Oryctolagus cuniculus: one gene and its partner. The protein of the gene in region 1 interacts with the protein of each later gene in a biochemical or structural test. Links are inferred from orthologs where the notes say so. Each region holds a gene or a part of one and is shown on either strand. Other genes may lie near its edges.

Region 1 (3,567 bases):
TTTCACTCTCCGTAGAAACAGACTTACCTTTTACTTGTGTAAGATCAATGCCTTTCTCTGCTGCCAGCTTCTTTGCCAGAGGGCTGACAAACACCCGTCCTTTTGGTCCAGCAGGAGCAGCTGGCAAGGCGGCTGAAGGTGTAGGGGCAGAAGGCTGAGGAGTTGGAGCAGCTGTGGCCACCTTTCGAAAAAAGCTACAAATTATTGATTCATCACCACAGAGACCGGCCTGAAAGATTCGGTTTCCATTTTATAAAGAAATTAAAACTTAATTAAGCAATGTTCATCTTTTTTAAAAGATCAGAATGAATTTTTTTTTAACTTTTAACCAACACAATATAGCAAAATGAATGGCAAGGACAATTCTTTATGTCCAGGACAGAATAAAGTTATCTTACTCTGTAAGGATAGGGAAATTTTTTTTCTGACAAGGGTCATTTGGATACTACAAAATTAAAAAATACTACAAAAAATAAAAAATCAACTTTAAAATGAGCCTACTATAGATTAATTGAATTTTTTTTTTTTTTATTTTTTTTATTTTTTTGACAGGCAGAGTGGACAGTGAGAGAGAGAGACAGAGAAAGGTCTTCCTTTGCCGTTGGTTCACCCTCCAATGGCCGCCGCGGCCGGCGCGCTGCGGCCGGCGCACCGCGCTGATCCGATGGCGGGAGCCAGGAGCCAGGTGCTTTTCCTGGTCTCCCATGGGGTGCAGGGCCCAAGCACCTGGGCCATCCTCTACTGCACTCCCTGGCCACAGCAGAGAGCTGGCCTGGAAGAGGGGCAACCGGGACAGAATCCGGCGCCCTAACCGGGACTGGAACCCAGTGTGCCGGCGCCGCTAGGCGGAGGATTAGCCTAGTGAGCCGTGGCGCCGGCTTAGATTAATTGAATTTTGAGTTCCACCTACAGTTGCCTTTGCAGGGCCAGACAAGATAATTTCATGGGCCTTATACTGATAACAAGCTGGACATTTCCCACCCTGTCTATGAGTGGAATATAATACTTCTAACCAATATATAATATCCCTACAACCTTTTTTCATTTTAATCTCATATCACTTCTTTATTCCCATTCTTCTGTACTTCCAACACGGTTTTTGTTTTTACCTTACCTAATTTCAAAATATAAAATGATGGAAGGTTCCATGTTCAAAGTATCTTTTTTTTTTTCTTTTTTTTTCTTGTTTTTGACAGGCAGAGTGGACAGTGAGAGAGAGACAGAGGGAAAGGTCTTCCTTTGCCATTGGTTCACCGTCCAATGGCCCCACGGCCGGCGCAATGCGGCCGGTGCACCGCGCTGATCTGATGGCAGGAGCCAGGTGCTTCTCCTGGTCTCCCATGGGGTGCAGGGCACAAGCATTTGGGCCATCCTCCACTGCACTCCCTGGCCACAGCAGAGAGCTGGCCTGGAAGGGGGGCAACCGGGACAGAACCCGGTGTGCCGGCGCCGCAAGGTGGAGGATTAGCCTAGTGAGCCGCGGCACCGGCCCAAAGTATCTTAAATCAACATTGCCACTTGCCAGCTCCTCATAAACACCCAGCAATTAGGAATCAGGTTTTCTCTGACAGAAATGTGTACCTCATCTAAAGTCGCATAACTCTAGCATCTAGAATTGTCATCATACATGTTATTTGGCTTGCAGTTAACACAAGTTCATGTTATAGATCAACAGTGTATGCTACGACACATATAGTGGCATACTAAATTCTATGCTAAACAAGTCATATTCTGTCAATGTATTACAAAGATATGCTTGTTCCTCTATAATATGTAAATACCAACAGGAATGAAAGTGACAGATTATCTGGTAAATTAAACAGAAAATGCCAAATGAAACCTTACCTTCCAGAAGCATATCTACACCTAAAGCAGAAAGAGATCATGTCACCTCACATTTGCTCTCAGCAGGACTCAAGATAGCAGGCAGAAAAGAGCTATAAGAAAAAAACTGGCCGGCGCCGCGGCTCACTAGGCTAATCCTCCGCCTTGCGGCGCCGGCACACCGGGTTCTAGTCCCGGTCGGGGTGCCGGATTCTGTCCCGGTTGCCCCTCTTCCAGGCCAACTCTCTGCTATGGCCCGGGAGTGCAGTGGAGGATGGCCCAGGTGCTTGGGCCCTGCACCCCATGGGAGACCAGGAGAAGCATCTGGCTCCTGCCTTCGGATCAGCACGGTGCGCCGGCCGTGGCGGCCATTGGAGGATGAACCAATGGCAAAGGAAGACCTTTCCCTCTGTCTCTCTCTCTCACTGTCCACTCTGTCTGTCAAAAAAAAAAAAAAAAAAAGAAAGAAAGAAAAGTAAAAGAAAAAAACTATCCACCCTGAGGTTAACAGTGCAGCATGACACACCCTCTAGAGACAGCCACAAATGTCAATGAACTGTCTCCCTCATTCACAGGATCTTGGCGTTGAAAGGAATGCAGGGCATCACCTAATTCCAGGAGTATGCCTACCGGGGGTGGGACAGGTGGTGGTGCTTGCGGTTTTAAATCAGCCACTTCAGTCGGCCTATAGTCAGCAAATGCCGATATATCTGCTTCTTTTTCTACAATGATACAGAGTGGTGTTCCTAGAGGGACATCTCTCGTGCCTTCAGGGATCAGGATTTTTGCCAGATAGCCTTCTTCCTGCACTTCAAAACCTGAAACAGAGAGGGGAAACATTATGGCACTTAAAAGAACCCACTACCCCTCCAGACTCACAGCACAGTTTTAAGCTAAAGGCTTTTCTCCTGGCTGTAGTACCTTTTTGCATGCTATCTAACCTCTGTGTCTCTGTTTCCTTTTTTAAAAAAAAAGATTTATTTATTTATTTTGAAAGTCAGAATTACAGAGAGAGAAGGAGGGAGACAGACAAAGAGACCTTCCACCTGCTGCTTTACCCACTATGCCTCAAGGCTGGCCCCTCTATCTCACTTTCTTGACTTTTACAATGAGGATAATAGTACATTTGACCCTTTATAGCCAAAGGTCTGGATCCTCATATTCAAAGAACCTTGGGTTGAAAAGGTTACATTACTGCTGACATGTATGTGGGGACTTCAAAAAAGTTTGTGGGAAATAAAATTAAAATTTCAAAAACAAATTTTGCAAAACTTTTTGGGGCAGGCATTGTGGCATAAAAGGTAAATAAAGCCACTGCCTGAGACCCCAGCATCCCATACGGGTGCCAGTTTATGTCCTAGCTGCTCCAGGCTAATAGCTTGGGAAAAGCAGCAGCAGATGACCCAAGTGTTTGGGGCCCTGCTACCCACGTGGGAGACCTGAATGAATCTCCTGGCTCCTGGCTTCAGTCTGGCCCATCCCTGGCCATTACAGCTATCTGGGGAGCAAACCAGAGGATGAAAGAGTGCTCTCTCTCTCTCTTCCTCTATCTCTGTAACTCTGATTTTCAAATGAATAAATAAATCTTTAAAAAAATTTAATTCCATATGAATGTTTCTTAATTCACATTTTTCCGTGATTTTTTTTAAAGACTTATATATGTATGTATGTATTTGAAAGAGCACAGAGAGTGGGAGGGAAAAATCTTCCACCCACTGGCTCACTCCCCAAATGGCTATGAAA
Region 2 (4,231 bases), on another chromosome or scaffold:
TGCCACAGTGCCGGCTCCTCATTGTTAATTTCTTATTGTTCCTGATTTTCAAGTTAAAATTTATCTTAGGTATGTGTCTACAGGGAAAAAGTGCGTGTGTAGGGGGTCTTAACAGCCACTGGGGGTCTTGGAGCCTATTCCCCCAGCATGTAAGGGTAGGCTGTGATAATCACCTTCTGTTGTAATTATTTTCTTATGCATCTGTTTTCCAAACCGAGAAACGAAATGATCGAGGGACAAGGTCTAGTCTCGGTGCTGTCTGTGCTTCCTGATCCCAGGACAAAGCCCAGCACGTATTAGGCGCCTGATCAGCCCTGGCCAAGGACAGTCCCCTCCAAGAGCAGAGAGCATCCAAGTGGCCAGCAGAACTCAGGTCCGGGATGGAACATACCTCCTCTGACCACAAGAGGGCGCGCCACGTTTCCTATAAGCGAGCCCGGCTGCTGGGGGCGCCCGGGGCGCACCTGCTCCCGGAACCTGTCCCCAAAGAAGCCCAGGGGTTTCGAGGGGCGGAGGGGCGCGCTCCATGGCCAAGGCTTTGTGTTGTGCTGATTCGCTAAAGGTGCTCGAAAATTAGCACCTGTTGTGAGTGTTGAGTCTAGCGGTTAAGACGACCCCTCCACCCACATCGGAGTCCCCGGGTTCCATCCCTAGGCCCGGCGGACGGGGCGCTCGCTTTCAGTACCTGTCTCTCCTCCTCTCAAACGGAAAAGGAGATCGCACTGGTGGCAACTGCTGTCTCCACCGCCGCCTGTCGCGAGGGTTTTGACTCCGGTGTTATTCGATGGGAAAGGCTACCGCTACTTTACCCGGAGCCACTCGGGCCTCCATGGAGGCGGCTGGGTTGCGCACCTAGGCTTGCGTGCCGGTCCCCAGTGTGGCGCACATACACAGTCCGGGGCGCTGTCATCTGCGCTCGGAACCCAGAGGACCCCGGGGAGGGAGAGCAGGCAGGCATCAGAACCAGTGAAACGGGCATCTCTTGCAGAAAGGGGATTCGTTGAAAGCCACCTGGACAGGTCAAGAAATGAGAGGTTTAAAAGGACCTAGAGACAGCTGGGGGCCCGGAAAGGCGCAGGTGGAAGCGCGGGCGAAAGGGCTCCAGGAAGGAAGGGGTTAACCCGGGCCCAGTCCAGGGAAGGAAAGGGAGGAGTGTGCGGGCTGGAGGCGGGACTCCGGCTCTGCCTCCGGAAAACAACAGGCCGCCTCGGGCAGGGACGGGGTTAACGGGGCGGGCCCAGAGGGAAGCCACGTGCCGAGGCGGAAGCCCATTGGCTCTCCCGGAGTTGTTTGTGAACATACATTGGCGACGTCGGGGCGCCGCGACGAGCCCATTGGCTGAGCCTTTCAAGACCCACCAGGGCCAGGGTAGGGAGGAGGAGGTGGTCGAACCGCGTCGCTGGGCCGGGCCGGGCCGGGCCGAGCCGAGCGCGAGCGCTACCCGCGGCCGGGACCGCAGCCCGAGCCCGAGCCCGAGCCCGAGCCCGAGCCCGAGCCCGAGCCCGAGCCCGAGCCCGAGCCCGAGCCGCGGCCGCCGCCATGCGCTGGGTCCGGGCTCTGCTGAAGAATGCGTCCCTGGCAGGGGCGCCCAAGTACATCGAGCACTTCAGCAAGTTCTCCCCGTCGCCCCTGTCCATTAAGCAGTTTCTGGACTTCGGTACGGAGGGGGCGGCGGTGGCCCGCGGGGGCGGGGGGCGTCGAAGGGACCCTGTTCCCGAAGGACCGACACGGAGGCCAGGAGAGGCCCGAGGGACAGGGACGAGCTGCCTGGAAGAGTACAGAAAGGAAAGGGTTAATGGGGAGTCAGGGTTAGCGCCTGCCCGGAAAGGGTTAAGGACTCCCCGAGAAGGGACTCCCCACTGGACTGTTCCAGGGGACGGGGGCGCTGAGATGGAGGGGTCCAAGGTTTCTTCCCCGGCTCTCAGAGGGGTCTTGGGCAGTGAGCGGTGATGACGTTGGGGCAGGGAGGGAGCCGGGTGGTGTGCAGGCACCGAAGGGTTAATAATGTTGCCCAGGTGACTGGGAGAGTCTGGGGGCCTGAGGAGATGGCAAGCAGGCCGGTGGGAGTGCTGGCAGAGTGTGGAGATGCAGCCATCTGGAAGGAGACCTGGGTGGGCCGTGCTTGAGGGCCGAGAGGCTCCTGGGCAGAGTGAGACAAAGCCAGGGGACCCTTTGGGAAGAAGGTGCCAACAGGCCCCCCATCGCTGGGTCCCCCTGACTTGTGCACCTGCACCGACTGAAGGGGCTGCACCCCAGCTGCCTCAGTGGGCAAGGACACTTGAAGATCAAATCTGTCCCAGCCTGGCCGTCTGTCCTTGCTGGGCAGGAGCCCAGGACGCCATGAGATGGAGTCAGGCCACTTGTACCCTCCCTGGGCTGCCCCTGGGCTGCCCCTGGAGCGCCCCCCGCCAGCATTCTGGGGGTGGCTCCAGGACAGGCGGAGGTGGCCGTGCCAGCGGGGCAGCTCAAACAGGCATTGTATGGGCCTTGTCTGTCTGCACAGTGGTTCCGTGGTGCCAGCTGGAGACTGGGGGGGGTGGGAGGGCAGGCCAGGTCTCTCCAGAGTCCAGCTGATAGTGCGTGGCTTCGGTTACAGCTGCGTCACGGACAGGAGCCGGCAGGGGGTGGCAGCCAAGACATAGGGCACCTTTTCCCCGGGATGAGTCCGCGGGCCCCCTTCCCTGTTTGAGTCTTGAGCTGCCCCTAGGTAGGAAAGCCTTCCGGGCCCCTCCCAGCCCCAGCAGCTCTCAGCTGCAGAAGCGTTGCAGCTGGCAGGCCTGCATAGTGGAGCTTGGTCCGCTTATACAGGGTGGGAAACAGAACTCCAAAGGGTGGGACACACCTGGGTGGCTGAGATGCCCTGCCTCCAGGCCGGCTTATTCAACCTGTCACCGCTCCTTTATCCTCCACCCAGCCCATGCTGTTTGGACTCCAGTCCTCAGGCTCCATTTGTGCACATGTGGGCATTACTACAGGGGTGGCGCTACACTGTGCATCCAGGCCAGCCCGGCTGAGGCCGGCTGGGCCCCTGCAGCCATGGAGGTCTTAGGCATACCTCCTCCCAGCCAGGACCTAGCCCAGGTAGGGATGTGTTTCCCAGGCTCCTTTGCTCACTGAGGCAGTGTCTACCAGGAGGGAAAGAGAGAAGGGAGGTGGCTTAGGCTAGAGGCAGCCCCAGGTGGGCCCGGGCTGAAGCCTGGGGCAGGGCAGTGTGGTGGGTGTCTCGCTGTGCACCAGAAATGAAGGGTTCAGCTCACTGGGTGCTGTGGTTTCCAGCTCCGGGGGCTCCCCGTCCTCTCTCTCCCTGCAGGTTCCAGCAATGCCTGCGAGAAGACCTCCTTCACCTTCCTCCGGCAGGAGCTGCCCGTGCGCCTGGCCAACATCATGAAAGAGATCAACCTGCTTCCGGACCGCGTCCTCGGCACGCCCTCCGTGCAGCTGGTGCAGAGCTGGTGAGACCCCTGGCTTGCTCCCCACACCTCCCACCCCACCGTCAGGTGTCCAGAGCTGCTGGCGGGGGGGGGGGGGTCTCTGTGCTCCCAGCAGCCTTGAGGAGGGTGAGGAGAGAGGCTAGCGGGTTACCCCAGGCCAGTGGGGCTCCTAGGCCAATGCGGGGTCAAGGTCAAGCTCCTGGCCTCCGTATCTGCCAAGACAGCCCCGTTCTTACCATTCTCCTTTCTCTGGAAACACCTAGGACAATCATTGTTTTCACAGCTACAGCGCTGGTCGAGCCGATGCCAGCGTTAGCCCTCTTGGGTAATATTTACTTGGAGTAACTTTTTGGGAAACACAGAAAGAAGAGCCACCTCCTAAAACACATTATATAATCCAAGCTACCAGTCAGACCCAGAGAGACTCAGGTATGGCACAGTCCCTCCCCAAAGAGCTTTGGATGGGGCAAAGACCAGAAGTGTCTTGCATGTAGCCGCAGGAGCGGGCGAAAGCCTTGGTGAAGTTCACGCTCAAGCTCTGGCCAAGGTCAGGTGGCTGGAATACCTTAGCCAGCGGCCAGTCACGTGACCAGCAAGCCAGGCTGTGCTCTGCCTGCCACTGGGATACGGCAGTGAATAACCAGCATGGGTCTTTTGTGTCCCCGTGCAGCCCTGCACAGGGTCTTCGGGATTTGCAGGATGCAAATCCGTGCTGTCCACACCTGCTCTGATCCTGGCACCACACTGGGTGTGAGGCAGCAGCAGCTACCGCCTGGCCAGGTGCCCATGGTTTTGCAGGC

Evidence for each region.
Region 2: the proteins of DLAT (region 1) and PDK2 form a complex in vitro, tested with the Homo sapiens proteins (2 studies listed by BioGRID). The link is inferred for Oryctolagus cuniculus from reciprocal best matches to the Homo sapiens genes DLAT and PDK2.

The regions. Positions count from the first base shown.
Region 1 is NC_091432.1:103,982,037-103,985,603, reverse strand, and holds part of DLAT (dihydrolipoyllysine-residue acetyltransferase component of pyruvate dehydrogenase complex, mitochondrial), read right to left. Parts: intron 2,643-3,567; coding exon 2,455-2,642; intron 182-2,454; coding exon 28-181; intron 1-27.
Region 2 is NC_091448.1:26,068,060-26,072,290, forward strand, and holds the start of PDK2 (pyruvate dehydrogenase kinase, isozyme 2), read left to right. Parts: upstream 1-1,370; 5' UTR 1,371-1,539; coding exon 1,540-1,657; intron 1,658-3,310; coding exon 3,311-3,452; intron 3,453-4,231. UniProt on the Homo sapiens protein: Kinase that plays a key role in the regulation of glucose and fatty acid metabolism and homeostasis via phosphorylation of the pyruvate dehydrogenase subunits PDHA1 and PDHA2.